Arabidopsis thaliana: one gene and its partners. The protein of the gene in region 1 interacts with the protein of each later gene in a pairwise test. Each region holds a gene or a part of one and is shown in the gene's direction. Other genes may lie near its edges.

What was found.
Region 2: the proteins of AT4G37445 (region 1) and AMT1;1 interact in a protein complementation assay, tested with the Arabidopsis thaliana proteins (one large-scale study listed by BioGRID).
Region 3: the proteins of AT4G37445 (region 1) and AT2G24170 interact in a protein complementation assay, tested with the Arabidopsis thaliana proteins (one large-scale study listed by BioGRID).
Region 4: the proteins of AT4G37445 (region 1) and UMAMIT8 interact in a protein complementation assay, tested with the Arabidopsis thaliana proteins (one large-scale study listed by BioGRID).

What each region holds. Positions count from the first base shown.
Region 1 is NC_003075.7:17,601,325-17,608,481, reverse strand, and holds AT4G37445 (calcium ion-binding protein), read left to right. Parts: upstream 1-3,537; 5' UTR 3,538-3,563; coding exon 3,564-3,594; intron 3,595-3,684; exon of another isoform or gene 3,685-3,703; coding exon 3,704-3,818; intron 3,819-3,911; coding exon 3,912-3,972; intron 3,973-4,059; coding exon 4,060-4,338; 3' UTR 4,339-4,388; downstream 4,389-7,157. Other genes in the region: AGP18 (arabinogalactan protein 18), read left to right, coding at 1,541-2,290, 2,470-2,556; AT4G37440 (uncharacterized protein), read right to left, coding at 4,636-4,818, 4,892-5,370, 5,461-5,514, 5,620-5,936, 6,453-6,835.
Region 2 is NC_003075.7:7,855,260-7,863,091, forward strand, and holds AMT1;1 (ammonium transporter 1;1), read left to right. Parts: upstream 1-2,923; 5' UTR 2,924-2,960; coding exon 2,961-4,466; 3' UTR 4,467-4,659; downstream 4,660-7,832. Other genes in the region: AT4G13500 (uncharacterized protein), read right to left, coding at 1,728-1,872, 2,319-2,388, 2,453-2,615. UniProt on the Arabidopsis thaliana protein: High affinity ammonium transporter probably involved in ammonium uptake from the soil, long-distance transport to the shoots and re-uptake of apoplastic ammonium that derives from photorespiration in shoots.
Region 3 is NC_003071.7:10,271,305-10,280,468, reverse strand, and holds AT2G24170 (Endomembrane protein 70 protein family), read left to right. Parts: upstream 1-3,202; 5' UTR 3,203-3,280; intron 3,281-3,347; 5' UTR 3,348-3,574; coding exon 3,575-3,682; intron 3,683-4,026; coding exon 4,027-4,191; intron 4,192-4,287; coding exon 4,288-4,397; intron 4,398-4,481; coding exon 4,482-4,590; intron 4,591-4,663; coding exon 4,664-4,776; intron 4,777-4,853; coding exon 4,854-6,162; 3' UTR 6,163-6,370; downstream 6,371-9,164.
Region 4 is NC_003075.7:9,355,649-9,364,043, reverse strand, and holds UMAMIT8 (nodulin MtN21 /EamA-like transporter family protein), read left to right. Parts: upstream 1-3,804; 5' UTR 3,805-4,172; coding exon 4,173-4,363; intron 4,364-4,464; coding exon 4,465-4,530; intron 4,531-4,572; exon of another isoform or gene 4,573-4,672; coding exon 4,673-4,789; intron 4,790-4,884; coding exon 4,885-5,119; intron 5,120-5,222; coding exon 5,223-5,387; coding exon of another isoform or gene 5,388-5,432; exon of another isoform or gene 5,433-5,455; coding exon 5,456-5,607; intron 5,608-5,705; coding exon 5,706-5,859; 3' UTR 5,860-6,138; downstream 6,139-8,395. Other genes in the region: AT4G16630 (DEA(D/H)-box RNA helicase family protein), read left to right, coding at 1-49, 145-206, 309-405, 502-620, 712-754, 835-936, 1,020-1,112, 1,221-1,340 and 2 more.

The sequences.
Region 1 (7,157 bases):
GTTTCTGATCTAAAAAACAAAAAAAAAGCTAGAAAAGCTTTGTTAGGGTTTTAACTTTATTAACTCTCGTGTTTAATATAATTTTACAGATTTAATAATGTATCTAAATATGATTTCTCTGGTCTCAACATGAGAGGTTCCAACATGAGAGTTTACAACCCTTGGCCGATCTTATGTTGTTTTAAGTTTATTCTGACACCTCTTTTTTTAATACAATCTTCTGTCTGCTCTGATTGACAGCATTGATACCATGATCATATAACCGTTGCATGTTTCTGAAATCAATCTCAAAATAATTGCTTCATAGTAAAAAATGATTACAAGATTCGAGTTTCATTTATTATCGTTATAACACTCACTGTCTCATTCGTCAAAGTCTTTAACAAAGTCAACGAACGACCATTAGCTTGGGCTTTCTCTCCACCGACGCGCCGCTCTCAGAATTTCCACTTACTCATTGTCTTTATATTCAAAAACTCAAAAAAAAAAAAGTATTAAGAATGGCTTAAGACCGAAACGTGTTTTCTCCTAGTCTGGCAAAACACAAAATAATAAATATAAGGAAACGCTTATGAATACTTTTCAATATTCTACATAAAGTCATTGAAAGAAGGATTGGAACAAAGTGAGAAGCAACAAAAAGAAATCAAAATCGTAGCTCCTAAGCAATACGTTTCTTCATTGGCAACGGTTTTGATTCCATTTCGACTCGAATGAAAAAAGGCCAAAGAGTATTCAGGCAATTACGGTGACGGTGGCAACAAATTATAGATTAAAACGAGCCAAAATAGAAGAAAGTGCCAACAAATCCGTGTGGGCACCAATCCAAAGTGGCAAAATCAATCAACCAGCTGTCCTCTCCCTCTAACTTCCGATCAAAGACTCTCTTTTTTTTTGTTTACGTTTTCTTTTCCTCATTCTCCTTGTCTTATTTTGATTGCATTATATTGAACTTGAGTTTAATCATTTTTCATTATTAAGGTTATTTATTTATAGACGCATGATGCATCAAGTCATAATAATTTCACCCGTGATGATCACATAATAATACTAATCCAAGACTCCATGTGTCGTACCCCAAAAATTTATCTCAATTATACTATGTACCTTATATTGTGCTATTTTTTTAACTAATAATTTCCCGACAATTTAGTAGTTGGAAATTTCTCGACCGTGTGATATAATCTATAATATAAAATATCATAATTATTAAACAATGATAAAATTTGTGAGCGACATTGGTATCAATTTCAAATCCAATTATTATGTTGACACAAGACTAGTGATTTATAGTATAACCAATTTAATGTCTAACGTAAAAACAATTACTATTAATTGATTTTCTATATCTGATCATATGTTCAACAAAACACATGCTAATCTACCCACCATTGGCGAATAAATTTATTGCAGAATATAACAGGAGAAAAATGCCAAGAAAAAAAAATCCTTATAAAAACGCACAAGAAAAAAGTAAAAGAGCTATTCTGTAAAATAAAAATGAAAAAAGTATTGAATCCTACATTAATAGATACAGGATATGATGTTCTGTTTCTCAACGGCTACATCTGTCTGTGATCCTTTTTTAATCCAACGATCCAGATCTCTCCTCATCGCCTATATAAAACTCACTTCTCTTACATCAAACAAACAACACGCTTGGTTAAACTCCATCAGTACTTTAACCATCACTTCAAAGTTCAAACTCTTTTTTTTTTTTTTGTTTGATCCAAATTTTAACAAAATTATGGATCGCAATTTCCTCCTAACAGTTACATTGATCTGCATTGTCGTCGCCGGTGTCGGTGGCCAATCTCCTATCTCTTCTCCGACCAAATCTCCCACCACTCCTTCTGCTCCAACTACTTCCCCTACTAAATCCCCCGCCGTTACTTCTCCCACTACGGCTCCGGCGAAAACTCCAACTGCTTCGGCTTCTTCACCGGTTGAGTCACCAAAATCTCCGGCTCCTGTTAGCGAGTCGTCTCCACCACCGACACCTGTTCCAGAGAGCTCTCCTCCGGTTCCTGCACCAATGGTTTCTTCTCCAGTGAGCTCTCCACCGGTTCCAGCACCAGTAGCTGATTCTCCTCCAGCTCCGGTAGCCGCTCCGGTTGCTGATGTACCGGCTCCTGCTCCAAGCAAGCATAAGAAGACTACAAAGAAATCGAAAAAGCATCAAGCTGCACCTGCTCCGGCTCCGGAACTTCTCGGTCCACCTGCACCACCGACTGAATCTCCCGGACCTAACTCCGACGCTTTTTCTCCCGGTCCTTCCGCCGACGATCAGGTACATTAGCTTATATCAACAATGTTGATATTTATCTACCGTCACAAGTTCGAGTATCAATGTTAAAAATAACCAATGAGACATTTCAAAACAGTGAACATAGATTTTCAATTTTTGTTATATTGATTTAGTAATTACATATTCGATTAACTAAAATGAAAATATGGAATTGAATGCAGAGCGGAGCAGCGAGCACAAGGGTGTTGAGGAATGTAGCGGTGGGAGCGGTTGCAACCGCATGGGCCGTTCTCGTTATGGCATTCTAAATTATTTATCATTTCACCTCTGATATTTTTTAGTTTTTATATTTTTGACCCTACCATTGTCTCTTTCTTTACGAATTTGGTAATGAGTATTATTTAATTGATTATACAGTTTGTTTTCTTTTATTTTATTTATATGGAAATAATAAGAATTCATATCTGTCAGTGATGAAAATACTGTTTTACACATTGATTGTTCTTTTCTTTTGCAGACAAAAGTCCTTTAGTGATGGGTCCGAGTTCTTTATTGAAAATGACACATTCAATTTTAATGCAGAATTATGGACATTTACTCTAAAATAAAATGTTTGTGTAAGTAACGTCTATGTAACAATAAGCAAAGCAGTTACATAATTTGTTTTAGTCTTTTAAATGTTTAAAGTGTTAGTAAATCAAATGTTGATATTTACGTTTGAAACCAATTACATGTGTTTCTTTAAACAAATATTTACAATTGGAGTATAATTATGCGAGAATGAAAGTGTCAGCTACTTAGTTGGATCTTAGTCTTTTATAATGTGAAGTTGGTAAATATTTATTGAATTCATATCTGATACCCAACTCAAGTGGCCAAGTTGCTATAAATGAATTGTCTAAAATTTATTACTAAACATGTATAGATCCAACCAATCATATAATACAATGCTTTTTATTGTACCTTTCAAATAGCTAGATTCATATTTTTGTCTTGTTCCTTAGAGAACTAGATTTGAAAAAGAAAAAAATTAATGGATATCTAATATGGTAGGCAAAAAGAAAGTGAGAATAGAGGACAAGTCATATTCCCCATGCTTTTATTAAAAGTACATTACTCAACTGTGAAGAAATGGCTAAGATTTTGTAAGTAAAGCACAAGTTATACTTGAACCAAGGTCTTGTGTAGAGATTCAAGATTCTTGGCTTTGCAAAGACACAAACCCACCAAGCCAAGTCTCTGATTCCACACACCAATACAAATTTGTATATAAACATAACATTTTCTTCTTCCTAAAGACTAACTTCTAGACAATATGGGTAGTTCAATGGGCTTTCTCGGAAAAGGTTTTGCAATTTTTTAACCTAACAATTATCGACTCAAATCGTTATATAACCGTTTTGACAAATTTTCGTCCTATATATCTTTCTAAATAGATTTCGATATTTGGCCTAGGGGTACCACCGACGCAGATGATGAATATGGTAATGGGTTCACTCTACAAACAATTTACCCAAAAAGCTATCAACAACTTCGACGATTTCCACGTTGCTGTTTTAGACATCTTTAAGTAAGGATTGTTTCATTATTTGATCATTCGAAAACAATGGTTATGTTGGCCAACATTTTTTTTTTTAAAAGGAATTTTATCTATTGAGTGCAGCAACTTCAACTCGGCTTTACCAGGCAGGCACTTCGATTTCCCAACCCCGGACCAAATAAAGGTGAGTCCTCTCCTCTATCAAAATCACACAAAGAATCTTATAATAATTTCTCTATATTTTTAACACAATGTTGAATGATCTAAACAGGTTTGTTTCGCGCGGTGGAAGGAAGCGAAAGACGAAGAAGAGAAGAAAAAATTGTTCATTGAGTTCATGTCAAAGAGCGTGAAGCCAAGTAAACTCGATGATGTCACTATGATCACCGGAATAGTATCTCCACCGGCGGCAATGGCGGCTAAGAGAGCAGGAGAGAATGTTCCTCAGTTAAAATTAATCAAACTTATACCTGATGTTATATTCGTCCCTACGGTCACCATTTTAGCCATTGTCTCTGCCAAACTCTCTAGACGAATGTATTTGAAATAGTGTTTTAACTAAGCTTTCTTTCTTTTCCAAACAAAAAAAACTTAGCACCGACAAGATATAAAACATGATTGATTGATAATACAAAATAGAGAAAAATATATACACTCTAAATTATAGAAGTAAAGTTCAAAAGTTGATGTAGTTTGAATATATTGTTGACATGAAGAATCAAAACACAGCCACTATAAATATTTCTTTGTACTTTAAAGGCTTAAGAGTTAAGAATATCTTAGAATGAACAATTTTTACTTTTTAACACAAGATCCGATTAGTTACTTGAAAGTTTCCAAACCTTCTTCAGGATCTTCTTCGTAACCCGGCAGAGCCTGACCTTCGTTTTCCTCGCTTTCTCTTCCTGTTGGAAAACCTAGAAGCCATCACAGCATTAGACTTTGGCTTCTCTCTTGAAACCCGACGCCTCTTTGGGTTACTCTCTTCCTTCGTAATGATTTCACGATTGCGCGGTGTTCTTTTCCTTACCTGCGTTGTGTTAGAATGGCATATGAGACCAAAAGGGTTTAGCAAAGTTACACTGAGTTAGCGGAAAACTTACAGGTCTTGATGGACCTTCCTCAATTGAAGCTTGTTCTGTCTTCACTAGATTCTTATCGGGAATAATAGATTTCCCTTCCCTTCGCTTTGATGCTAGAATCTCAGACAGTAAAATATCTGTTGTCTCGTCGTCTTCAGGTGAGACGTGATGAGATGAAACTGAAGCAGATTTCACCGGTTTTTCTTCAGAGATGATCGATTTCTCATCTTCGTTTTTGATAGCCAGCAGGGGCTTTTGTTGTTCTGAGCTGGTGTATACATCAGCAGCTCCAAGTGGATTCACTGTGTTAGCCAGAGGGAATATACTTGGATTTTCACTCAAAACCTTGTCTACGCGGATCTTCAAGTTACGGGCTTCTGACTTTGCTGCTTCAATTTTCAAAAGTATCTGTTCCAAGTACGCATCGCCTTCTCTAAACTCGAGAGGCGGTGTCTCTTCAGAGAAAGCTGTCTCATCCTTGGCGCTCTTATTCTTCTTATCTGATGACCCAAGACAGAAAATATTTTATAAGATCAAAGTTTTCAAAAGGAGTAATATCATATCATAGTTGAGATTTTAGAACACCATACCTAGGTTGCGGGAGTTGTCATTAAGAGCAATATCGGCCAAAGATTTCCGACAATCTATACAAAGATCAGAAACAATAAGATAAGAAATTATTAGACAAGTAATGGTAGATGAACATTAATCACGACCAGAAAGACAAGAACACCAAACTAGTTCCATACCATAATAAGAGAAGAGATTATGGTTTGATGCATAGGATGTAACATCAGCGGTCTCTTCAACTCGCTTTCTCGTTTTCCTCTTCATGAGTCGGGTTTTCTGAGTATAACATGGAAGAGGAGGTAAAGCCTTTACTCCAAGTTCTTCTGATTTGACATTTTCTAACTCCAACTTCTTGGCTTGGTAATATTCTTCAACTTCTTTGTCGTACTTCTGTGCTTGGTTCTGAAGTTCTTTGTATTTGAGTTCAATCCATTTGCAACGCCACATTAAAGTAGGCTGTACAAACCTCCTCCAATGATCAGTCAGCTTCCTTTTTCTGCCATAAAAAGGAACAAACCATAATAATTACCGCATACCATTCACGATATAGAGCAATTCTTCTCCTGACTTCCTTAAAAGGAGATAAATCAAAGACGCAGCTAGCTAAGTCGTAGTAAAGTAACACACAAATTTAAGTCCTTTCAGAATCAATCAAACAACACATAGATGGAACTGATAGTGTTCAATAATAAGTAACAGTAAACAAGGCTACCAAATCCATGAAAATCTACAACACCAAATTAAGCTACAGACGTTTTTCTCATTAGTACAGGAACCCAAGTAACTCCTAAATTTCAGTCTTTTAAGAATCCAGCAACATAGAGATGGAACTGATAGTGTTCAATTAAAAAGTAAAAGTACACAAGCTACCAAAACCATCAAAATCTCTACAAAACCAAATTAAGCAAGAGGACATTTTTTTCTCATTCTGCTATTGGTTAAACACACAACAAACCTTCATGGAAACCATTAAGATAAAAGACTAAATAAGAAGCGTGAGGAAAGAGCTTACCTCACCCAAAGAGGAAGTGAAGTCTCATTACAAATCATGGAGTCAACTTCTTGATCATTCTCATGTTCAGAATCCGTTCCACCAAACGAACTCGAATATCCATCAGTCCCATCATCACACCCTGAGACTTGAATCTCAATGTTATCATTGCATTCCAATATATCAACCTCGTCCTCGTCGAACTCTGCAACCTCTTTTTTAATAGAAGCATCAGCATCAATATCATCACCACCACAAGGAAGATCCTCAGTGACATCTTCTTCAACATGATTATGAAAACTATGGTCCTCATAGTTACTAGTACAAGGCATATCTTTTGGTAATTCCCCAATCTCCTTATTGACTGAATCATCCATATCTATCTTCGATTCCTTCACCTCCATACCAAAATATCCTTTTTATTTCTTCTCAATTAAAACCCTAGAAAAATCCGGAATCAGTAGAGTCATAAAGAACTAAACTTGAAATTGAACAAATTTTCGAAAACTTTCATCACGTATCCATATGCGTCGAATTGGAAAGAGAAAGTGAAGAAGAACACGAATTTACACAAAACCCTAATGTAAAGTTCGAAGCTTGATAGTCGATGAGATCACAATTTCAAATGCAAAACAACAAAAACAAAAACCCTAAGAAAGCTTTAACAGATAAAAGAGATAAAAGGAATAAATACCTAATCGACTTAGCTCGCCGTTTCCGACAAGG
Region 2 (7,832 bases), 9.7 Mb from region 1:
AAAAAAAGGTATAGTATATATTTTTAAAAACATACACTTATTGTTTTTAGTGATGATACTGGTAAAACACTTTCATGCAATATTATTGAAATACCACTTCAAAGACTAATTTTCGGTATCGATAGAGTTTTAGTTCGTCGACGTCGAGAAATTTTATATCCTCTTCGATTTCTTTACAGTTTTTATCGATTTTTTTTGTATATACTTCTAATTTTCTTCTCTCTATATGACTTTTCTCTCAATTTCTTCTTTTTCATATCTACTTTTTAAGATATTTTAAAGAGTCGTGAAAGAGCATCCCTTCAATATGCTCATGCCATTGGTATTGAATTCACCAAAAGAGAAGCCTCTCATCAAATAAGTTCTTCAATCCCGAAACTTGAGCTTAGTCTCCAAATCCTTTGAGTTAAGATGTCTTATGACCCTCGTCATTTATAAATTAAACTCAATAAAATTGATGTCTACACTTTGATCGGATTGAACAAGAACATTGTCATGTTCACTTGCAATATTCACATAAGCCTTTATCGGATTCAGTTGTCCGCAAATATTTTGATATTTACTCGATGAAAGATCTGCTATAAGGGTGAATAAATTTGTAATTCAAGCCCCATCACAAATCGCGGTAGATCAACTGCATCTAGCTTGGAAATCAAGAGTACTATATGCTCGTTGACGCCTTCATCAAGACCAAAAGTAAACTGTACATTGTTGCCTCTATTCCCCAATCTTGGAATCTAAATATCTCTTGATCAATTTTTTATGCTTGGTTCTATCATATAGTTACTTTTTAACTTGATGAATTTCCAAACATGTTTTAGGAAAACTACTTTGTGAAAATTTTATATTATATAAATAGAAAAGATAATTTAACGGAAAAGAAACATTAACTTTATAGCATGTGGTATGTGGATATTATGCTCACTCTCAATTAGTCAATTAAGATATACCAACAACAACCTGGTTGAGATATCACAGAAATTATCAATTAATATCTTATAAATGAATTCGAAATATGCTAAATGCAAACATAGTTTTGTAAGTACGTAATTTATAATATATTAATACTCAAATCTAAGACTTACTTTTGAAAACAAAAGAATATCTTGTCAAATTGACACTTTTTAATGTTCAAAAGAGATAGTAAGAAATTTCGCCTAACCAAGAAAACAATAAAAACAAGGAATTTCAGTCTCAATACTATATATATTTTTCTGTTATTCACTTATATATTTGGATGTGATAGAATACTTTTTTAAGAACACACATATCTTATCTTCACCGATATATTAGCTGATACATTTTTTACATTCCTTTTTATTATTATTATTCTTATTTATTTTCTATTCACATGTACTTACAAACAAAAACTTAAAGACTTTGCAATTTGCGTTACGAATATTTTTCGTCAGGCTGTAATTTGAAAAGTCTTCTAGATGATTTCAAGTCTCTGCTTAATGTGCCAACTAGGCTCTATGTCACTACTTTGTGTTGTCTCTAATTCTCATTCTTCTTGACAAGACCAAACATATCACTAATGATGAAGAGATGACTAATATTTGTTTATACATTTGCTTGTAATGAAGACATGTAGTATAGCAAAGCACCATATAATATAGTGATAGCATTCTATTAATTTGTTCTTTTTTACAGCCGAAGAAGAAGAGTATAAGAAACATGTTTAAGATTCAGCCTTAAACAAGTGAAGAAAAAACAAAAAGAAAGGCTCAACGAATGGGAACTTTGATCCAACCATTGGCAAAAGCAATGGCTAAGATGACGAATGGAGTTGACATACCGAATATGATAATGTAAGGAAGAGGCGTCTTCATCGGATTCTCTCCTTCTCTTTCTCCAACGCTTTGCCAATACCTACAAAATTCCAATGCAATCCTCATCCATAACCATTTCTTCAATCACAATTGCATGTTTATGAAAAATGAACATGCAAGAATTTAAGTTCTTTTTCTATTTTAAAAGAGTTTAGTTCTTTTGACTAAACTACAACCCAAATATTTTTATTCTTTTGCTAACACGGATTTGAGTCTGGATATTGATACAATACTAACACAATGTCACAAACCACCAGTCTACATGTCATTGACACATACAAAAAAAAAAACTACTTAAATTCTGCAATGGAGACTAAAATTTTTGTATTAAATTGGTAACCTACATATCGTTTTGTAATTTTCCATGTTTTCATCAATTTCCTAGGTTTGTTTTTCTGTGATTTTGCAAAATTACATTACCATTCTATGAGTTTCTGTTATTTTCTACAATCTCATGATGAAAATTGAGAATTAAGATTAACTTACTGTTCAGGTTCTTCCTCTTTGGTTATAAACTTTTTCTTATCTTTAGGCTTCACTTCTCCATCTCCTCCACCTTATGCAATAACCAAAGATTAACAAAATTTACATCTACAAACAAATAAAAGATATAAGAGTACCTAATTTGGCATGAAGCTTGAATTCTGGGAATCCTAATGGTGATGGTGGACAAAAGAATTGAGGTAAAGCAAGCAATGATGAATATGAAGAAGATGATGAAGTTGAGGAATCACTAGCCCTGTGGCTAAACGAAGAAGAAGAAATTCGAAATTTCGCTGCCATTTCCAACAACTATATGGATGTGATAGAATATTTTTACATTTTATTTTTCTGTTATTCACTTATACATTTGGATGTGATAGAATATTTTTTTCTGAACACACAGATCTTATCTTCACCGATATATTAGCTGAAGCCTGATACATTTACATTCCTTATTTATTTTTTATTCACATGTATGTACTAATAAACAAAACTTAAAGACTTTGTATTATGCGTTACGAATATTTTTCGTCAGGATTGAAAAGTCAACCCTAGGCCTTTAGCTTCCTTCTTTTATATAAACAGAGAAACAAAACACTTTCTTTCTCAGCCTCTCTGTTTCATCTTCTTCTCTAAACTCTCAACATGTCTTGCTCGGCCACCGATCTCGCTGTCCTGTTGGGTCCTAATGCCACGGCGGCGGCCAACTACATCTGTGGCCAGTTAGGCGACGTCAACAACAAATTTATCGACACCGCTTTCGCTATAGACAACACTTACCTTCTCTTCTCCGCCTACCTTGTCTTCTCTATGCAGCTTGGCTTCGCTATGCTCTGTGCCGGTTCCGTGAGAGCCAAGAATACTATGAACATCATGCTTACCAACGTCCTTGACGCTGCAGCCGGTGGTCTCTTCTATTATCTGTTTGGCTACGCCTTTGCCTTTGGATCTCCGTCCAATGGTTTCATCGGTAAACACTACTTTGGTCTCAAAGACATCCCCACGGCCTCTGCTGACTACTCCAACTTTCTCTACCAATGGGCCTTTGCAATCGCTGCGGCTGGAATCACAAGTGGCTCGATCGCTGAACGGACACAGTTCGTGGCTTACCTAATCTATTCCTCTTTCTTAACCGGGTTTGTTTACCCGGTCGTCTCTCACTGGTTCTGGTCAGTTGATGGATGGGCCAGCCCGTTCCGTACCGATGGAGATTTGCTTTTCAGCACCGGAGCGATAGATTTCGCTGGGTCCGGTGTTGTTCATATGGTCGGAGGTATCGCTGGACTCTGGGGTGCGCTCATCGAAGGTCCACGACTTGGCCGGTTCGATAACGGAGGCCGTGCCATCGCTCTTCGTGGCCACTCGGCGTCACTTGTTGTCCTTGGAACATTCCTCCTCTGGTTTGGATGGTACGGATTTAACCCCGGTTCCTTCAACAAGATCCTAGTCACGTACGAGACAGGCACATACAACGGCCAGTGGAGCGCGGTCGGACGGACAGCTGTCACAACAACGTTAGCTGGCTGCACCGCGGCGCTGACAACCCTATTTGGGAAACGTCTACTCTCGGGACATTGGAACGTCACTGATGTATGCAACGGCCTCCTCGGAGGGTTTGCAGCCATAACTGGTGGCTGCTCTGTCGTTGAGCCATGGGCTGCGATCATCTGCGGGTTCGTGGCGGCCCTAGTCCTCCTCGGATGCAACAAGCTCGCTGAGAAGCTCAAATACGACGACCCTCTTGAGGCAGCACAACTACACGGTGGTTGCGGTGCGTGGGGACTAATATTCACGGCTCTCTTCGCTCAAGAAAAGTACTTGAACCAGATTTACGGCAACAAACCCGGAAGGCCACACGGTTTGTTTATGGGCGGTGGAGGAAAACTACTTGGAGCTCAGCTGATTCAGATCATTGTGATCACGGGTTGGGTAAGTGCGACCATGGGGACACTTTTCTTCATCCTCAAGAAAATGAAATTGTTGCGGATATCGTCCGAGGATGAGATGGCCGGTATGGATATGACCAGGCACGGTGGTTTTGCTTATATGTACTTTGATGATGATGAGTCTCACAAAGCCATTCAGCTTAGGAGAGTTGAGCCACGATCTCCTTCTCCTTCTGGTGCTAATACTACACCTACTCCGGTTTGATTTGGATTTTTACTTTTATTCTCTATTTTCTAGAGTATTATTTTAAATGATGTTTTGTGATACTTAAATATTGTTTTGGATATTTTTTTGCATTTCAGTAATGTTTTAGATGTACAGTTTCATGGGGTTGTGATGATAATATCTATGTGGTCATTTGTGTTCTCTTTGGAGTTTTTTCTATAACGCTTTTTTCAAATTTTATGATCATTATTTGCTGCATTCTAGATAAGCAATTAGGAATGTGAAGCATGGACTAAGTAAAAGCCTGACCGTTTTTAAGTTTGGACTTTTGATATAGCTCATACTTTTTTGATATTAGTTCATACTTATTGCTTTAAATAGCTAAAAAGTCTAAAACAAACCTTGCATTGACGCAATAGATATAAATAACTCGAAGTATTGCTTTCTAGAAGCATTAACAATTTGGTAAAACGAAGTTGAACCATTTACTCAAGCATAATAATCAGAAATGACAATCTTTCATGTCTGATGCAAATAAATAATAATTTATGGAAATAATTTCTATGTCTTACATCACTAATTAGACTTTTAGATGCTTGCAAGTTTGAAGTTTCAGCAGAAGTAGGTGCTTTTACAAACTCTTTTTTGTTTTAATTTGATAAAGTGTGTTTTTACAAACTCTGTTTTATTTTATTTTGAAAAAGTGTGTTTTTACAAACTTTCAACCAACCTATTCACGAATCTCTAATTTCATTTGTCCACCACATGAAATAATGTGTTTATTATATTAGTGTTATTTAAACTCAACGATTTTGGAGATTCGTACGTACCTTGTTGCCGCAACTAAAGATTCGGAGTATCACAGTTATTATATTAACAAATGGATTCACAAAGTAGATCGCGAATTACTTGAAAGTTGGAACTCGTGATAATGTTGTCGATACCACTAAATGGCAACTTCGTACATATGTAAAAAAAGTCAGGGTATTTGGGTGCTTTTCAAAAAGATGGAAGCATGACATGAGTGATGAGGCAGCTCCTACAAGTTGGAAAGAAGATATTTTGTCTTTACCTCCAAATTAAAAAATTGGCATTTTTAAATATCAAAAGGTGAAGAAGCCAATCAATTAGTATATTTATTTGTATTTTTTTTTTTTTTTCAATCTCTTTTACAAGTTTTAAGGAACTTAATGGCCAGCACTTTGATTTGATAGATACACACTAAATGAAAAAGTTGACCAGATGGCTCCGGTACTCGGAAACAAATTGCATGGAAATTTTACATAATTAGGTACACACATTTCAACATTTTGAAGAATATATTTGACTGTTTTGATTTTGCAGTTTCAATTGCTTTATGATTTCTACTCGGTTATTTATTGCTTTCCTAAATTTTATTCTGTGTATCTTACTTTATTATTTTTTAGAATTTAATATTTGTTGCTTCTATTCTCAATGAATATACTCAACAGATGAAATAATTAATAAATAATTCCAAACATTTGAACGTTAAATAATTAAATAGTCTTGACCATTTTAATATTTTTTCTAATTGTAACATTTTCTTTAGTATTACTAGGTTATGATTATCATTACACGTTTGGGTTAAATATGTTTTTGAACTTTTGGCGACAGGCGAGTCACTTGTTTTATAAACTTAACTTATACTAATCATTTAACAGGCTACATGTACTTTGCTATAGGTGAGTCATGTAACTGTTTAATTAGCTAGTGTGAATGTGTGATCGACGAAAAAAAAAAATTAGCTAGTGTGACCATATTACTTATACAACAACAAACTAAAAACTTGTCAAACTAAAAAAAGAAAGTAATATATCTGTTTGTAATTAGTCTAATCGTATTAAACTTTTCAGTTTTCACATAATAAAACAAAATTACAAAAATCTGATTATAAATGCATCACTTTTTGTGATTAACAATTTTTTACCCTAAAGCAATAGTAATTATTCTTAAATTTTACAATTCATCATCATTAACAAATCAAAGATAAAAAAATTTAAAATGCTCACTTTTCATTTCTTAAAAAAATTTAATCTAAATTGATAATCATTATCTACTCGGAAGAAAATAATCGAGATGACAACGGCTTGGTTCATGTGTGAGCCTCAACCACCCCCTCTTTCTCCGTATTTCCCTAACATGTCTTCACGAAAATTTTATAATGATTTATAGAAATAATTCTGTGTTGTCATATATTATTGGAATTTTCAATGCTGGAAAGTTGCAGCAGAACTTGGCGTTTTACAAACTTTGAACCAACCGAACAGGAATCTTCTTGTCATTACATGCAATGTTTATTTGATTCAACATTATTTAGATAACCGAACGAACAACTTTGGAGATACGTACCACGTTGCCACACCGCAAGATTCGACGTGTATCCTAATATTTTACTAATAAGAAAGATAAGATTCGCACAAAAGAGATCACAATTTCGTTGGAGCCCGTGATATCGTTGTCAGTATCATAAATGGTAATTCCGTACATACATGAGTTCTTATGGGTAATTTTGGTATTTTAGAAGTCAGAAAGAAGAGATTTTACCAAGTTTTTGACGTCTCTAAAAGTGCAATTTGGACCTTTGTATCTCTTTATCAATACCTAAATAAAGAATCTAGATGCAAAATTGTTCCGCATGTTCAAATTTGTGTAAGAACATAACATAACACTATTATATGCAAAGATAAAACAATACTCCATCTAGAAAGACTCACTCCAACTGTAATATTCATAATTCATTTATTGTTGCTACAGATTCTGAAGTTGAAAAGAAGTTGCGCAAAACAATAATGATACTAAAATGGCATAGTCAATATTAGTGGCTATAATTAATAACTATACGTTACCGTACAGCTAGAAACAAAACCGTAAGACTTTCACGACTTTGATTTTTCCTTGTTGATTTGACTTTTTGTTCGAATAAATATATTCAATGTATCATATGCTTCCAATATTCCAATGATTAATGTGAAAACAATTCCATTTTCACCTTCAAACTAAAAAAAAACTTGGCTGACCTATAGATTCTAAATAATTTTATTCTAGAGTCCGACTTCGTCATAGATTCTAACTATTTGATTGAAGATTTTTTTTTTTCGATTAGAACTGTTTCAAACTTTATTATATACAAGAACGAATCAAAGTATATCACTCTTTACTCTTTAGTGAAAAGGTGAAAAAATGGGAGAAGTTATTTAAATTTCTTCGGTGAATCATACATGTCCTCATAAAGATACTAAGGTACCAGAAAATGATCCCACATACATTAATTACTTTCAAAAAGTAACCACGAACGTCATTTACTTTGAAGCAACCCTACCTACCCATGAACTTAATAGTTTCATAGAATTAATCACGAGAAGACCACATATTTGGAGAGACATT
Region 3 (9,164 bases), on another chromosome or scaffold:
CATCTTTTTGCGTTGTCTCCTGCATGCAATTATTTGACTTGACTTGAATAAATATAGTTTAGTTCTTTGTTTGTTTGGGCAAAAAATGTAGTTTAGTTCAGAAATTCGGTAAACAATATTAAGATCTGGTAATAAGAGACATATTTTTTGTAAGTTTAACCATTGCAATTTCAAGGATTTGTTCTTGTGGTTTAGCCCCTTTTAGTCTCAGTAAGTATTGTGTGTTTAATCTTGGACCGGATCCTTTTGTACACAATATTTTACAATATATGCAATTTCAGATATGATCAATACAAAATATACTTTTTTAGATAGAATTTTAGAAACACAGGCTCCATGTTCTTAAATATAAGGCCAAAAGGGAAAAAAAAGTTCCCACTATCTATCGAATACTTGTTAGATCAAACGATGATATATTATTGTATAGAACTACAATGAAAAAATGTATGGTGTAACTGTGTATTAACATTATAAACGTGATGGTCGTGTCGTGAGTAGGTAGTTTTTTTCCTTGGTCAAATAGTATAAGTTTTCTTCTCTGTTTTATAATATTTTAAATGAAAATATTTTACTTTTCTACAATGTTTTATATATAGTAGATAATACGAGATATGATTGAACCCTATCAACTTGCTTCGCTACGATTTTCAACAATTTATCTCACAAAACCAATAAAATGTCCACCCGTTATCAACGTGACACAAACACATCAAAGAAGGGAACAGTTCTACTGGCCACCTCATGAGTCATGACTCAACCATTATTGTGTCCTGGACTTCTTTCTAGAATGTAAATTGATGAACGAAAATTTCAGCTCTGCCCTTGGCTAAAGCGGCTGAAGTCCATGCTTTAGGCACACAAATTTATAGATAGTTGTAAAAGGTAACAAATTTCGAAAATGTTTCGTAATCTAGTGGTTATTTCATAGATTAATGTCTTATTAGTGAACGGTTAGAATTTTAGCTTTGTTTTTTGTGACTTTTAATTAGAAATAGATTTAAAAATGCTTAACAATTTTAAATAAACTTAAATATGTTTTAGGCATTAAAATCTGTTGGGTTAGTTCTGTCGAGGCGGATTGGACGTTGGTTTTTTTGTATATAAATTAGTGGGCTTCATGGATAGATCCATCGTAGATCACAAATTCATGTGGATAAACTCGTCGCAGATTGTGGGTTGCCCGTAAAAGAAAAATCAACTCTTTTAAAACATAATGTTTTTTCATAGAGGATTTCAATCCTTTTGTCTCTGTTAGAATTTTTTGTGCAGTTCAAAAACCCTAATCAAAGTATTTCACGATCACTTAACAAGAAATCTGAAGAATCATTCTCTATTTCTTCAAGTTTCTTTTTATGACCACATCAAAAAAAATTAAATCGTCGAAACTTTTGATTTTAAGTCAAAACAGAGCATTTGTAAACTACACACTTGTAATGGTAAGTTATTTGTGAATACACATCCATGATTAGATGTTTTATTTTTGTTTGATTGATTCGCAAGTAGTGACTAGTTTTGTATTTTGTTACTGATATGATTCGTTTGACTCCGAGTATTTTAGATCTAATAATCTGGAATATCAGAAAGTCATTAAGTTGAAAAATGCTAAATCTAAACGACAACAAGCTAACAATGAACCAAAAGGACCTAAAAAACTGGAAAGAAAACTAAGAGATGAAATAGGAGCACCTAAGCCACATAGAAAAAAGGTGAATGAACCAGAAACATTTAAAACCCAAAGAAAAAAGGGTGATGAAGCAGAAGCATATAAAACAGAAAGAAAAAAAAAGTTTGATGAAATTGAAGAAAAAAAGTCTGTCTTCATGTTCGTTGCACTCGTCGTGAACCCCGAACCTCAAATGATTTAAAGATTAAAAAAGTATTAGACTGCTTTCGATAATTCCTTCTTAGTTCTATGAAACACTATAATCTATTTAGACTACCTCAGCGTATCAATATTTTTTTCTTGTATAGAATATCCAATCACGACCAATCGAATTTCATCAATCTATAAGAATGCCATTCTCATGCAATTTTTCTCTTATAGCCAACATGCTCATGCAATTTTGATTATTTACTTAAATAAATAAATAAATAGAAGTTTATATAAGTGTCAATAATAAGCTTAACCTTGAGATTCTTTGAGAAACGTTGCATTTATAGAAGAATTTGTCAGTAATTCTAGTAAGATACGAGCAATCAATTGGTATTTTTGATTGTTACTTCTCTCATCTCACAAGTTTGAATGGTTACGGCAGTTAAGATGGATAAATCCGTCAATGGTTTAATCCGAACTATTTTTAAAGTAGACAACAAACCGTCGCAACCAACTCTATTTATATGTAAAAACGGTATGTGGTTGATCCGCATCAGTTTTCTTTTTTAAATCCACACAGAAGTAATTTGTGAAATGGTAAATAAAACGTGGTCAAATACACAAACGAATTTGTCCACCTTAACCACAACAATCATTTAGACCCTAAAATTGATAATAAATGGACAAGTGAACATAGAAAATATGGCAATTTATGTTATTTTAGACAATCGAAGCGATTATTTAGGCGTTACCTGAGAGTCTAGTGCCTAGATAGAGTGTAAACGACCGCCTAGACCATTTTTTATAATACTGAACTTTTGTAATCATTTATTTCGGAGGTGGTGCACACGACAATGCCTACATTACTCGTGAAAACTATATTATACCTCAGAATACCAAAGTCCATGTTCCCGATCCCAATATCATCAAAGAGTTGGCCCATATCAAATGCTATGTTAATTTTTCTTATCTTTTCAAATTATTCTAATGTTGTGTTGCCAACGACTGCTTTTACTTTATAATAGAATAGAAATAATAGAAGTTAGTTTCCGCGATTACTATTATATGCTTACATTTATACCGGACTAGTTATCTCCAGAAGAAAACCGTCCGTTTTCAATTTGAAAACAGTCTGTAAAAGAAAGACTTACATTTATCTAATGCGGATTTGTATTGTGTGTGTGTGTGCTTTTTTCTTACATGTATTTATTGGTAATGTACATTTAATTATATGTCAAGGTGGTTGCTGGTGTGTGTAAGGTTTCATAATCTGCTAGAATAGTTAAGAGGTCACCTTCATTTACCAAATGGATTTTGTCTTCTAATTGATTTAAATCCATTTTTTTCTTTTATTCTTTGAATACTTTTTCATAATTATTTCGTATCCTCCACACTAACTCATTTCTACTTTGCTACATTTACAAGTTTCATCTAATCTACTTAAATTAACAAAAAAAAAAAAAAATTGTTTCCTTATTTAAAAATTAGATTTCTCGTAAATTGGACTTTGATTTTAATTATTGTCTATTCAAAGTTTTATTTTTTTACCTTAAAAAGTGTTGACTTTGATATTTCATTACCTTAAGAAGAAGAATCACCGACAGCTCCAACTTAGGAAATCTCAACCGTTGATTAAATCAAACGAGATACTAAAATATCCAACGGCCATAAATCGTCCAATTGCCATGTTTCTTCCCACTCTCTTCTCCTTCATTTAAGAAATTTCACTCTCCGAAGAAGAAGACGAAATCGAGCAAATCCATGGCGAAAGTTCGGATTTTGATCTTCACCCTTGTCTTATTCTTCTCCCTCAATGTCCATATCCATGGATTTTACCTTCCCGGCGTCGCTCCACAAGATTTCCAAATGGTCAGCCACATAAAATCATCTCTGTATCTGTATTTCACAAATGCAGCTTCTTCTTAGAGCTTTGATTCACACTGGGTCTAGATTTTTTTCTGATTTAGATCCAACGCAATCGATCAAGTAATCTTGTTAAAATTGGATCTATGGCTCTGTTTTATGAGATTTGGGTAATTTTGATCTTCAGTTACCACTGAGTGTTGTGTTTAAAGAGAATGTTTCATTAGTCTATATGTATTAGCCATTGTTTAGACTTGTTTCTGTGTGAATCTAGCTTTTGGAGTAGAAGAATGTATAATGGTCATTATCTATAAAGGTTCAAACTTTGGAGTTATGGTTTTGTTTTTCAGGGAGATGCATTGATGGTGAAAGTTAATAAATTGACATCTACAAAGACTCAGCTTCCATATTCCTATTATTCTCTTCCTTATTGTCGTCCAGAACATATTGTTGATAGTGCTGAGAATCTCGGTGAAGTTCTTCGTGGTGATCGAATTGAGAACTCTCCTTTTGTGGTATGTTCTTGTTTCTTCTTGGTTCTTTCTCTATCTGTCTTGGTTAAGTGGTAGTTGTTGAGTTGTTTTTAATGTCTGTTTGTTTCTTTGTTGCAGTTTAAAATGAGGGAATCGCAGATGTGTGCTGCGGTTTGTCGTGTGAAGCTTGATAAGAAAACCGCAAAGGCGTTTAAGGAGAAGATTGCTGATGAATATCGAGTTAACATGTGAGGAGATTGATTTTGTCGCCTTCGACTGAATGTGTTTTGTTTTTCTTCTGTTTTTATGAGGAAGATTGATTTCTTATGCAGGATTTTGGACAACCTTCCCCTAGTTGTTCCGGTGCAAAGGCCAGATCAGGACAATGTTGTAGTGTATCAGCATGGTTTCCATGTTGGTCTCAAGGGAATCTTTGCTGGCGTAAGAGCTCATCATCACCTTTTCTGAATATGTTTCAATGGAAAGAGTTCTTATTTATTTGATTTTCTTGTAGAAAAAGGAGGAGAAGTATTTTATCCACAACCACTTGACCTTCACTGTTAGGTATCACAGAGATATACAGACCGATTCTTCAAGAATCGTTGGCTTTGAAGTCAAGCCGTTCAGGTAGCTTTTTGTGATTTAAGGACTTTGACTCTGTATTGTGTAAGCGACTAACATCTACTGATTTTATCTCGATGCAGTGTCAAACATGAATATGAAGGTCAATGGAATGAAAAGGCTCGGTTAACGACTTGTGATCCGCATACAAAGCGTGCAGTCACTAACTCTGAGTCTCCTCAGGAGGTTGAAGAAGGGAACGAGATTATCTTCACATATGATGTTGACTTCCAGGAAAGTGAGGTGAAATGGGCGTCTAGGTGGGACACTTACCTTCTAATGGCTGATGATCAGATTCATTGGTTCTCAATCGTTAATTCTATGATGATTGTTCTTTTCCTCTCTGGTATGGTCGCTATGATCATGCTAAGAACACTCTACCGAGATATTTCCAACTACAATCAGTTAGAGAGTCATGAAGAGGCCCTCGAAGAGACGGGTTGGAAATTGGTACACGGAGATGTTTTCAGACCGCCAACAAACCCGGAGTTGCTTTGTGTTTATGCAGGCACTGGAGTTCAATGCTTTGGAATGATTCTTGTCACCATGATCTTTGCTTGTCTTGGCTTTTTATCTCCTTCAAACCGTGGTGGTCTTATGACGGCTATGCTTTTGCTTTGGGTTTTCATGGGACTATTGGCAGGATACGCGTCTTCACGCCTCTACAAGACGTTAAGAGGAACCGAATGGAAAAGAAACGCTCTGAAAACCGCATTCATGTTTCCCGCTACCGTCTTTGTCGCCTTCTTTGTCCTTAATGCGATAATCTGGGGACAAAAATCATCCGGTGCAGTCCCATTTGGTACAATGTTTGCTTTGGTTGTCCTCTGGTTTGGTATCTCTGTTCCACTTGTTTTCATCGGTGGCTACATTGGTTTCAGAAAACCTGCACCGGAAGATCCAGTGAAAACCAACAAGATCCCGCGGCAGATCCCAACACAGGCCTGGTACATGAACCCAATCTTCTCCATTTTGATTGGAGGCATTCTCCCATTTGGCGCAGTCTTCATCGAGCTCTTCTTCATACTCACCTCAATATGGCTACATCAGTTCTACTACATATTCGGCTTCCTCTTCATCGTCTTCATCATTTTGATCATCACTTGCGCAGAGATCACGGTCGTCCTCTGTTATTTTCAGCTGTGTAGTGAAGACTATCAATGGTGGTGGAGATCTTACTTAACATCAGGCTCTTCCGCGGTTTACCTCTTTCTTTACGCAGTCTTTTACTTCTACACCAAACTTGAGATCACAAAGCTCGTCTCTGCAGTGCTCTACTTTGGGTACATGCTCATAGTTTCATACGTATTCTTCGTCTTTACTGGTGCAATTGGTTTCTACGCATGCTTTTGGTTCACCAGGCTTATCTACTCTTCGGTTAAAATCGATTGATCTTTAATCACCTTCTTAGTAAGCTGTATCTTAAATCTTGTTCTTTTTCGTTCTTTTGTTTCCTCCTTTTAAATTTTGTGATGATTTTGAGATATGTAGACATAAACTTTTATTTTATTGTAAACATACATAGAGCTCAAGAGTACAACAATTGTCTCATAATAACAGCAACTTGTCACACACTTTTATCAGCAATCTCAGTTTTTATTTCTTCCATTCTTAGTAGATTAGAAACTAAGTTTGTTACTACTGCAAGGTCATACAGTTTACATTTTTTTAATAACTGTTTCTAATCGACAATTTTTTTTTGGAATTCATGAAACTGCGTACCTCATGTTTTTAGGAACATAGTTTTCAGAATATTAAAAATGAAATAAAAAATAATGAACTCGATCGACAAGGTCAAGTCAAGATAGTATGTGGTAGATAAACAAAAACAAAAAGAAACGTATGTGGTGGATAATTTAGAATTGAATGAGTCAATCAGTAGTCTATATGGACCAGTGGCACAAATCACTGAGCAGAGATGCATGAAGAATTAGGAGGATAAGAAGTCCGACGAGTTCACACGATAGATTGTTCTCGAAGTCAAGAACTAAACTCCAGAAGTGTTTTTATTTTCCTTTTTTCTTATTAAAGGCATACTCAGAAGCCATAGTCATAACCTATTACTTACCACACACTGCACACACATACACACAGAAAGTAATTATGAGTCCACAACAATCTTATTGCTTTTCTGGTGTTACGTTGTATTCCTTCTTTTTGGTTTTCTTTGTTCTACACACATTTGCTTCTCCTACGCTTCACTATTGCCGCCATGACCAAAGGGATGCTCTTTAAGAGTTCAAACACGAGTTTCCGATCAATCAATCCAAGCTAGATCCTTATTTTGCATCATTAAGTTTATGGAACAAGAGCAGTGATTGTTGTTATTGGAAGGGTGTCAAGTGCGATGCTAAGTCTGGCAAGGTGATTTCACTTTACCTTAATTACGTCTTTCTCAACAACTCCTTGAAACCAAATAGTGGTCTTTTTAAACTCCAACATCTTCAAAAATTAACCATTTCAACTTGCTATCTCTATGGGGAGATTCCTTCTTTATTCGGAAACCTTTCCCATCTCACAAAACTTAACCTTCTCAATAATAGATTAGTAGGTCAAGTTCCATATTCATTTGGAAACTTAACCCATCTTAGGCACCTAGACCTTAGTGAAAACAACTTAAGTGGGAGAACCAGTTCAAGGGACATATAGAGTTTGGGAATACAACTTCATCGCCTAGGCTTATTGGTATACACCTTGGCGATAACAAATTTGATGGCTCAGTCCCTGAATCTATATCTAAATTTTCGAAGCGCAAAATGTTCAGTCTTACAAACAACAATTTCATCGGGACAATCCCAAAATCTATATCACAGTTACATAACCTCTATATCCTTGATCTTTCCTACAATAAGATGGAAGGAACAGTACCAGGTTGCTTATCAAGATTGACATGGTTATCGCTTTCTCACAACTCTTTTAGTAGTATTGGAAAGTCATTAGAAGTTCTAGATAGAGCTCCAATGCGTGTATTGAGTCTTGAGTCAAATTCATTCCAAGGACCGTTTCCCCATTGGATTTATAAGAAAAGTCAATAGAAATTTTGCTTCCCCACAGAGGCCGAATATCTCCAAACACTCTTTCTTCTTGGACATGTTACACATGATGTTGAAATGGACATAAAGCCCGCTGGCCTGAAAGGATACGGTCTTATTTTGTGGACCCGAACCCGTTTAAAGACACTATATAATAGGTTGACCCGTTTAGATTTGACTACTAATAATGGATCTGAAAAATACTAAAAAGGTAGCCCGTTTAGACCTAATTACTAAATTGTCTGAATAAGATGCTAAAAGTCTTTGCTTTCACTATTCTAGTGATTTCTTTCGGAAATTCCAGAAATTTGATTCGAAATGATTTGTGGATTTATTTGAATGAAATCCACAATTTTCTGAGTATTTCGAAGGAGTCAAGACAAAAATTTCCCCTCTTAATCATGTGAGGAAATGAAGCATATCTTGTTCTTTGTTTCTTGATTTACTTTCTGGTAGTAATGGATAACTAGAGAGATTCAGTGGAATGGCCAAAATCTCATAAGTAGAATTTCATTGGTTTTGCACTGAATATTAGATGGCTTTATGGCTCTGAAAAAGCAGCTCTTGCCGGCCAGTTTAGCATGTTTTTCAACAGACAAATATTTAATAATTATACCTTGATAATGTATAAACAATCTTTTTTTTTATGTTGTGTTTATTGTTTGCCTTGGGATCCAAGTGAACAAAGAAAGCAAGTCAAGGTTTATACTCCATTTCACTACAAATTTTAGTTATCTGCAATAATCAAACCCACTGTTTCTGTTATCAACATAGCAATCTTTCATGTCCTCATTTCCCATGTTTTTTTGTTTATTAATATATATATATATATATATATATATATATATATATATATATATGTATCCATACTCAAATTATTCCATCTATATCGTAGTGACACTGCAATTATAATGATAAGGTGTTCATTTTAGAGTAGTGCAAGACTATTGTAGGAGAATTTAATTTGTATGGGAATGTGACTATGTTTGTTACTCACGAGCAGATTTTAAGGAAGTTGTGAGATAAGAGATTAAAAATTAGGTAGAACTTCTAGGCATTGTCTGATAGTACCATTGGCAGTGCCGTCTCGATATAACCTATGGCAAAACCAAACAAAAATTAAACCTCTTAGTAAAAAAAAAAGTTAAGAAAATTTGGACTTTTCTTCTTTAAGTGTTTTTCTGAAATTAATATTGGACCCTTGGCATTTGCCTACCTTGCCTATAGGTAATAGGTGGAGCCGATGCTGACCATTGGGACACCTTTTACACTGCGAATTTTCCCTTTTGTCTCCAATTGATAAATTTTGTTGGGAATTAACCTATGAAATTAGCTAACGAACGTTTTTTTCAGGAATGAGAC
Region 4 (8,395 bases), 8.2 Mb from region 1:
CAGAAAGCAGGAGGTCGATTTTCTCATTGCTACCGATGTAGCCGCTCGAGTAAGTATAAGAAGCAAAAAACTTATTTTCAAGATTCTCTTCTCAGTAGCTCTGCTATTTAACCTCTTGAACACTGTCTGCTTTGATCATTCCAGGGACTTGACATCATTGGTGTTCAAACAGTTATAAATTATGCTTGTCCTCGGGAAATAGACAGGTAAACAAGATATATTTCCTGTATTATGATTAAATTAAAAAGCTACTAGTTTTGTTCTCTTTAACTGATGTGAGGACAATATGTTTTCCTTTGATTTTGCAGTTATGTTCACAGAGTTGGTAGAACAGCTAGGGCTGGAAGGGAAGGTTATGCTGTAACGTTTGTGACTGATAGTGACCGATCCCTTTTGAAAGTCATTGTAAGTGAATCATCAGACATACATGGATCTTGCTTTTACCCAATTCATTATCGCTTTGTTTAGACATTTGAATCGACTTTGTTTCTTTGTTTAAAGGCAAAGAAGGTGGGTTCAAAGTTGAAGAGCCGAGTCATCCCAGAGCAGTCAATCGTCAAGTGGTCTCAGATAATCGATGAAATGGAAGATCAATATTCCGCTGTTATTTCAGCAGAGAGGTTTCATTCACACTCATCAAAGAATTATGGTATCCCAGGAGAATTGGTTGATCTGTATACTTAAGCTTTGAGGTGTTTTCATCAATTTCAGGGATGAGCGAGCTCTAAGGAAAGCTGAAATGGAATTTGCAAAGGTAGGCAGCTTTGGTTCTTGTCTTTGTTCAATTATTGTGGGAATAATTTCAAATTCGTGATTATGGGCTTGTTTCTGCAGGCGGAGAACATGCTTGAGCACAGAGATGAAATATATGCACGCCCAAAAAGGACTTGGTTCATGACAGAGAAGGAGAAGAAGCTCGTGGCACAGGCTGAAAAGGTGTTCTTTTAATTTCCTGAGGTTGTTGTTGTAGAGAGAGGGATACACTTGTCTGAATCATTCTTTATACTTTCTCTGAATAGGATTCTGCAGGGAACCCTGCTGGAGGCGAACTAGTTAGTGCTGATAGAGCAGAGGACCTCAAGATGAAGGAGAAGAGAAAACGTGAACGCGAGGTCTGTTTATCAAGAAGCTCTTCACTATTCAGTTGCATTATCGTTCTAGTTTAGTGTTGATTGCTTCTTCCTAGAGAACTTACAATTCTCTTGACCATGCAAGTACAGAAGAATCTTCCTAGGAAAAAACGTAGAAAGCTAGAAGCTGCCAGAGAGATGCTAGAAGATAACGAAGGAGAAGAAGAGGAAGAAGACGAAGAAGGAGACGAAAAGAGAGGAAGATCAAGAGTAAGTATTTCAGAGATACACATCACTCTCTCTCTCTCTCTCTCTCTCTCTCTCTCTCTCTCTCTCTCTCTCTCGCCGGGATGACAAACATTGTATTGATTTTAAATGTGTGTTTTTTTTCAGGGGAAAGACAAGAAAAAACAGGAGACAGATAAGAAGGGATTGACACTAAAGGATCTTGGTTACATGAGAGCAAAAGCGGTGAAAGCAAAACAGAGAGCAATTGATTCCGGTAAGATGGAGAGACCAAAGCCGGACAAGAAACAAAGCCGGAGTAAACCAAGAAACCAGCCTCGTGGTGAAGAGATGAAAGATCTGTTCAAGAGTGATATGGGCGAGAAGAAACAGGGCAGAGGCGGTGCCGCGGCTGCAGCAAAACCTCGGACGAAGTCGAAGAACTCATTCAAGAGCAAAGCCAGGTAAGAAACATTTCATCATAAACATGAAATTTACCAGTAACATAAATTGTAATTTGTTGGTTTAACTCGGTATTTTCTACTTTTATCGTGCAGATATAAGCGTAGGTAAAAGGAAAAAGCATTTTTGAGAAGATATCGAAGGACAATCCCACGAGAAGAAGGACATTTCATTGAGAAGGGTTTAAACAATTTAAATTATTGTTGTAATATCATAATTTAGAACAAAACTGGTTAAGATGTTCGAAATTTTGTTTTCTTTGTCCTATGGTTTTTATAATCTTTCATAAAGCTTTACCATGATTATTCGTAGTATGAAGAAGCAAAAAGTGGTTTAAAAAAAAATTAAAAAAAAAAAGAAGAGGTAAAAAGTCACGTGAGTTGGCGACGGTTGTAGTTGTAGACGCGTGGGCACGTGAGAAGACTATGTATGTTCACAGACTTCAGAACTTGAGACTGTAACCTTTTGTCTGTTCGTACGTGGCACAACTCATTAGTCATTAGAATGTTTTGAACCGGTTTAGGAGCTAATATGAGTTTCTGCATATTCAAGATGCCTTTTATTTCACACCAAGGGGTTTTGATACTAGTTAGGGTCTATAAAACTAAGTCTTAAGTGTTTTGAGCGTGAACTTTTCTTTTTTTTGGTCAGCGTGAAATGTTTCTAAGCTTTTAAACGCATTAAATTTTCATGATATGGATAACAGATGTTACAAAAGAAAAAAATGTATGTGGATAAAGATTAAACTCTTAACTTAATATATTTAGATAGATCGCATATTATATTTGTTGGGAAAAAAAGAGGGGGAGAAAAGAGAGACGATAACACGCTTCACAAGTCATTGGAAAAGAGACTGAGGATTGTTGACGTGTAAGCATCCCCACTTTTGCTCTTTTCTTTCTTACACTCCTCATTTTTTCTTATCTTACGCTTCACCTACCATATTTTACACTCCACACAACATCTCCAATATTATACATCTCCAATTAAAAATCTTTCATAGGCACATCATTTATTATAAAATAACTAATTCGTTATAGACTCTAGTCTAGTTTTCTAGTTAAAACTGATCCCTAGAAAATATTTTGATCATAAAACTATTTCGGTGTGAAAACGAATCACTAAACCATCCTTTGGTGTTTTGGGTTAAATAACTAAAACATTTCGGTATGAAAACAGATCACTAAACCATCTCATTAGCATTAACAAGGATATTAGAATAGGAAGCTTTTTTTACCAATAAAAATGATTATAGGTAGGTAGGCACATGGCATACACATATGATTTATCTGTGAGACTGTGACAAATACAAATATGAAGACATTCCATATTTGCATGCAAGAAAAAAAGAAGGAAGTAAAGAGTGAACAGATAGTCAGATACGTAAAACGAATAAAGGAGAAGATGGTAAGATGTCGTATTATATATCCAAAAATAAGAATACAAACAAAAGAAGAACACTGATAAATATTTTTGTTACTCCCCCGAGAAAAGGCCAAGGTCCCCGAATCTGACGGAGTTTATTGCATCTGTCTTTTTTTCCTTCTTCTCCTTTCTTTTTGGTTTATCTTTCTTTTTCATACTCTGCATGTTTTTAAACTTCACTGTAGTACAGAATTTCATCTTTAACATAAATTTGTGTGAGGGCGATTTATGATCGATCATTCCACCTTTTTTTAAATGACTTTACTGACAAAATAAACATATTATTCTTTAGTCTTAAATAAATAGAATCTTGTTTTATAATTTTGCTATTTTTATTACGTTATTTTACCAATCAAAACTATGGTTTTATATTCCAAATTTTATTAATATAGTGGCAACTTCCCAAATAAAAATCTTGACAATTTGAATAATCTTAAATTTTTGCCTAGCCGATTTGGCGAATTTTATTTATTTATTTATTTGTTCTATTTAAGAAATATCAGACTCACCGAAATATTTATTTCTTAACAAATTAAGCTAACCGCTCTCAAATTTTTGTTTTGTCTTATTTCATACATATTAAATCCATTGCACCAAAATTTGAGGACTCTATGTGTTATAAAAATAATCACCGTTTTAGACTAAAAATAAATTAAAATCTGCGCTTCCCCAAAAAGCTATAATGGCGAGACACTCCATAATAAAACCAATGCAATGTAATGGACACATGTCTTTAAAAGCAAGAAGTGAAAGATAGAGAAAGTTTCAACTTCAAGCATTACACATTACCAAAAAGAGAGATCACAAACAAAGCATCTTTTCTATTTTCATTTATCAACAACAACAAAACCAAAAACTTAATTAGTGTTTCTCTGCTTTTTTAGTTCCCCCACAAAATCGAATCCTTCTGTTCGGTTACCAAATGGGTTCCAACTGATTTGTCCGTTATTATTCTTTTTATTTTCTTCGTGTTTTTTTTGTGTTGAAAAAATGATGAAGAGAGAGACGTTAATAGAAGCAGGAATAATCGGAGGATTGGCCGGAGCTCAGGTGATTTACGCCGGAAACTCGGAGCTACTGAGTCAGTTGCTGTCTCTCGGAATTGACCCACTTCTTATCGTTATCTTATGCACCTTTGCATCAGTTCTTCTCATCACCCCTCTCGCTTTTCTCCTTGAAAGGTATCTTCTTCTTTCTTTTAATTTACAAAATCTCTGTTTCGAACTTTATTCTACATTCTTTTTCTAATAAAAATTTGGATTTTTGTGGTGTGTATTTGTAGGAAGCTTTGGCCTAGAAGTCTAAGTTTCAAGTTGAAGATAAAACTAGTTTTGGTTGCTCTTGCTGGGTAAAAACTCCTCTTTTTATTTATTTCTGCATGTTTTGATTAATAGATGCTTACCTTGCTTCTTCTATACGTTAAAGAGAAGGAGAAGAATTAAAAATTCATAACAAGGGATTAATTAAGAGAGAAGTTGTGTTTGAAACAGAGTGACTCTGTTCCAGGGGTTATTCTTGGAAGGAATGAAACACACCTCTGCTTCAATGGCTACAGCTATGCCTAATCTCTGCCCTGCTTTCATTTTTGTCATTGCTTGGGCTGCTGGGTAAATCTTTTACTTTTGTGTTAATCTAATCTGTTTAGTGTTTGAAGATTAGAGCTTTCATTAATGTGTTATTTGAATAAATTGTAATTGTTAAGGATGGAGAAAGTGAAGCTAAGTTGTATGTATAGTAGAGTTAAGATGGGAGGGACAGTGTTGTGTGTGATGGGAGCTCTCATTATGAGCTTAATGCACAGTACTACCGCTACTTTAAGCTCGGTTAAGACTATACCTATTGTCCCTGACGAAGTCGTTGTGGACAAGGACAAGATCTTAGGTTGCCTCTATCTCCTCCTTGCCATTTGCGGCTTGTCCTCTAGTATTGTCCTTCAGGTTTCACCTTATACCCCTTCTTAGCCCTAGAGCTATCATATATCCGGTTGTGCTAATTAATCTGATTCTTTGCTTGTGAAATCACTTTGATCGTCCTAATTAGGCATCCATACTAGCCGAGTTTCCGGCGCCTATATCAATGTTCTCGATGGTATCTTTGATGGGTGGGATCACCACAGTAGCTTTGCAGTATGCTCTTAAGGGAAGTATGGAAATGGGAAGTGCATCAGTAATCGGTCTCGGCCACCTTGTGGGATACGCAATACTGGTACGTCATAAATCATATATGGTTGGCAACATTTGGATGTGTTGAAAATGTTTTTGTTTTTTTTCTAGGGAGGGTTGGTGAGTGGAGGAGGGTTAAGCTTCAATGCATGGGTGATTAAGAGGAAAGGACCAGTGATTGTGTCTCTCTTTAGTCCAATTGCAACTGTGGTATGTGTTGTTGTCTCTGCTTTTACCATGGAAGAGAGTTTCAACCTAGGAAGGTACATTTTTGCAGCTTTTCGCATTCATTGTATGATCTTTTAGACAGAAAGAGAAGTCATTTATCTTCTTTCTTGTTTGTTTTTCTCTGTCAAATTAGCTTTGCGGGAATGGCGTTGATGTTCGGAGGACTCTACTTCGTTCTGTGGGCTAAAGGAAAAGAGGATTGTGAAGAAATAGATGAAATGAAACAAGATGATGAAGAAAGTTTGCTTAGAACAGAGTTTGATCTTCAGAAGCCTCTCTTGCTTTAGTTCAAAGTCTTTTTTTTTTCTTCTTCTTAATGTTCTTGTGAATTTAGTTTAGGTTTAAAGAAGTAAGACAATTTTACTTTACAGATAATTCGGTTAGATATACATGTAGTAGGCTGTAGACTACAGTATATGTTCGTGTGTGATACTAAAATAGTTGGATATAAAAAAAACATCACATACATACAGGGCGAAGAAAAAGGGCCTAAACGATGTTATGTAAAAAGTTGTTCAATGTGAAGGTATATTTATATATAAATAAAAATTACCGTTGAGTTAGAAGATGAAGATAAACCTACCTAATATGAGAATGCGAATGGAACTAAGCAAATACACGCCAAAGACTGTTTTCCTATTCCCAAAGAAAAGCTGAGCCAGAGTATAAGTCAGGTGTGGAGATGGAGTTAGATAATGACAAACAAGGTAGAAACAAAAAAACGCAAGTCAGGGTATTTATAGAATTGTCATTACATAGCAGATGACCAAGCAGGTTAGTGTCCGCTATATCGGAAAGCTTCAAGAGAACGGGAAGATCTTCGATTCCACCATTGGAAAAGCACCTTTTAATACTTATGTGATATGGCAATTAAGGGATGGAGTTATGTGATTGGTACGTGATACTTATGAAGTTGTTGTTACATGCAGGTCATGGTAAAGTCATTAAGGGATGGGATGTTGGCTTAAATGGTAACTTAGTTTCGTCCTCCTAAAGGTTTTCATCACTTTGTTTCAAATGGTGTATTGCTCTCAAGTTTTAAAAATTTCACAGGCATGTGTGTTGGGGACAAAAGAAGGATTACAATTCCTCCATCAATGTCGATATCTTCTTCTCTTTCTCCATGCGCTTGATGGATACCTTCAATATCTTCTCTACATAAAATCTTGGCGAACGACTATAATTGTACTTCGTTGTAGATATCATGCATACGTGCTTCCATTAATCTGCAAATTTGCTAATAAATCGCAGTAGCTGGAACTGGAACATTAGACTTCTGGATGTAAAAGCATTAATGAACTTTTGGTCAACCATTAGACCAAGAGGTTTCCACGATTTCTTTCTTATAGTCAATTAATATATTTATTTGGATGAAAAGTTAACTAATATTAAACACTGAACAGAGATTTTTTTGTTTGCATCTGAAGAGTTACGTAGTTACTGAAAATTGAGATTGAAGCAAAGCTAAGTAGTTAACACGATAGATTCCATTGTGTAAGCCTCTTCTTTACTCAACTATGTATTAAAGTTCCAACAACTCAAATTCAAATCCTTGCTGGTAATGTTAACATATGTATTCTTTGTCACCTTTTCAATAAAACCATGATTACCAAAGGTATATTATCAATTTAATGGATTCTTGACTACTGCTACGTCTGTGTGACTATGCAACATCTTTCATACACTTTATCAAAGAAATAACATTTTTAATACATGGTATTTTCCTCTGTTAAAAAAGTATTAGTTTTTTTTTATTAGTAGTCATATTTACTGTTTTGACATCCACATGTTTTGTATGAACCAAAACAAGAACTGTTACTATAGTTAATACGACAAATAATTATGTAACTTCTAATTGCTTAGAAAGTATAAACCAACTTGTTTTGGATAACCAAAACACATAAGTAAGTTTTTCGAATCGGAGAAGCTATCACATTTATTAGTATCATCTGTATTATTGGTAATTAAATCAGAATACTATACTATCATTGAACCAATGGTAATCATTTTATAGTTCTTATCATTAACCCATTACGTAGAAATTAAAGTAAAACTAAATAGAGATTTAAGTATGAATGTCAAGTTTGTTGAACTTGCAATCATAAACAAAATTCAGTCCCGGTTCGAAAATTCAAAACATTAAGACACTTATCACACTCGCAAACAATTACATTTTTTTAAAAACTTTTTTGTCTTTTTCTTTCATTTGAAATGAGACTATAACAGCAATGAGTATAATCTCTCTGCTGCAAACAAAATAATGACAGCCAAGAGTTCTCAATTCAGCTAAACAAAGTGGAACCGAATGCAAAACATGTTGAAGTCATGTAAAACATATACTTCTCTATTTTTAAAATAAATTTTTCTTTAAGAAAAAAACTAAATAACCAAACCGGAAATTTGGATTTATGGTGGTCTAGTGGTTCAACTTACTTGGACCTTTCCAATCATCATTGTGTAGTCATTCACTTATGTGTCGACACCATCGTATGTTAAAGGATACCAACCTAAGTACAATTATATAAATGTTATGATTATATGTTGTTTAGTTTTTATTGTTCAAACACTCGAACCACTAATAAAAACTCATGAGTATCAAGTTATTTAAACGTTTAACCGTTAAAAATGACATTTCAGCATTAAAACCTCAACACCCAATTAAAATCAATGCAACTAAAACAATCGTTTATATAATTCCAACCTCGACACTTCAACCGATTCTGCCATTACAATTCCTCCAACTAACCCAACCAACATAATTCACACACACATACTTTGTTATGCTTAGAAACTCTTTTTATGCTTTAAGAAGTCAATAATCAA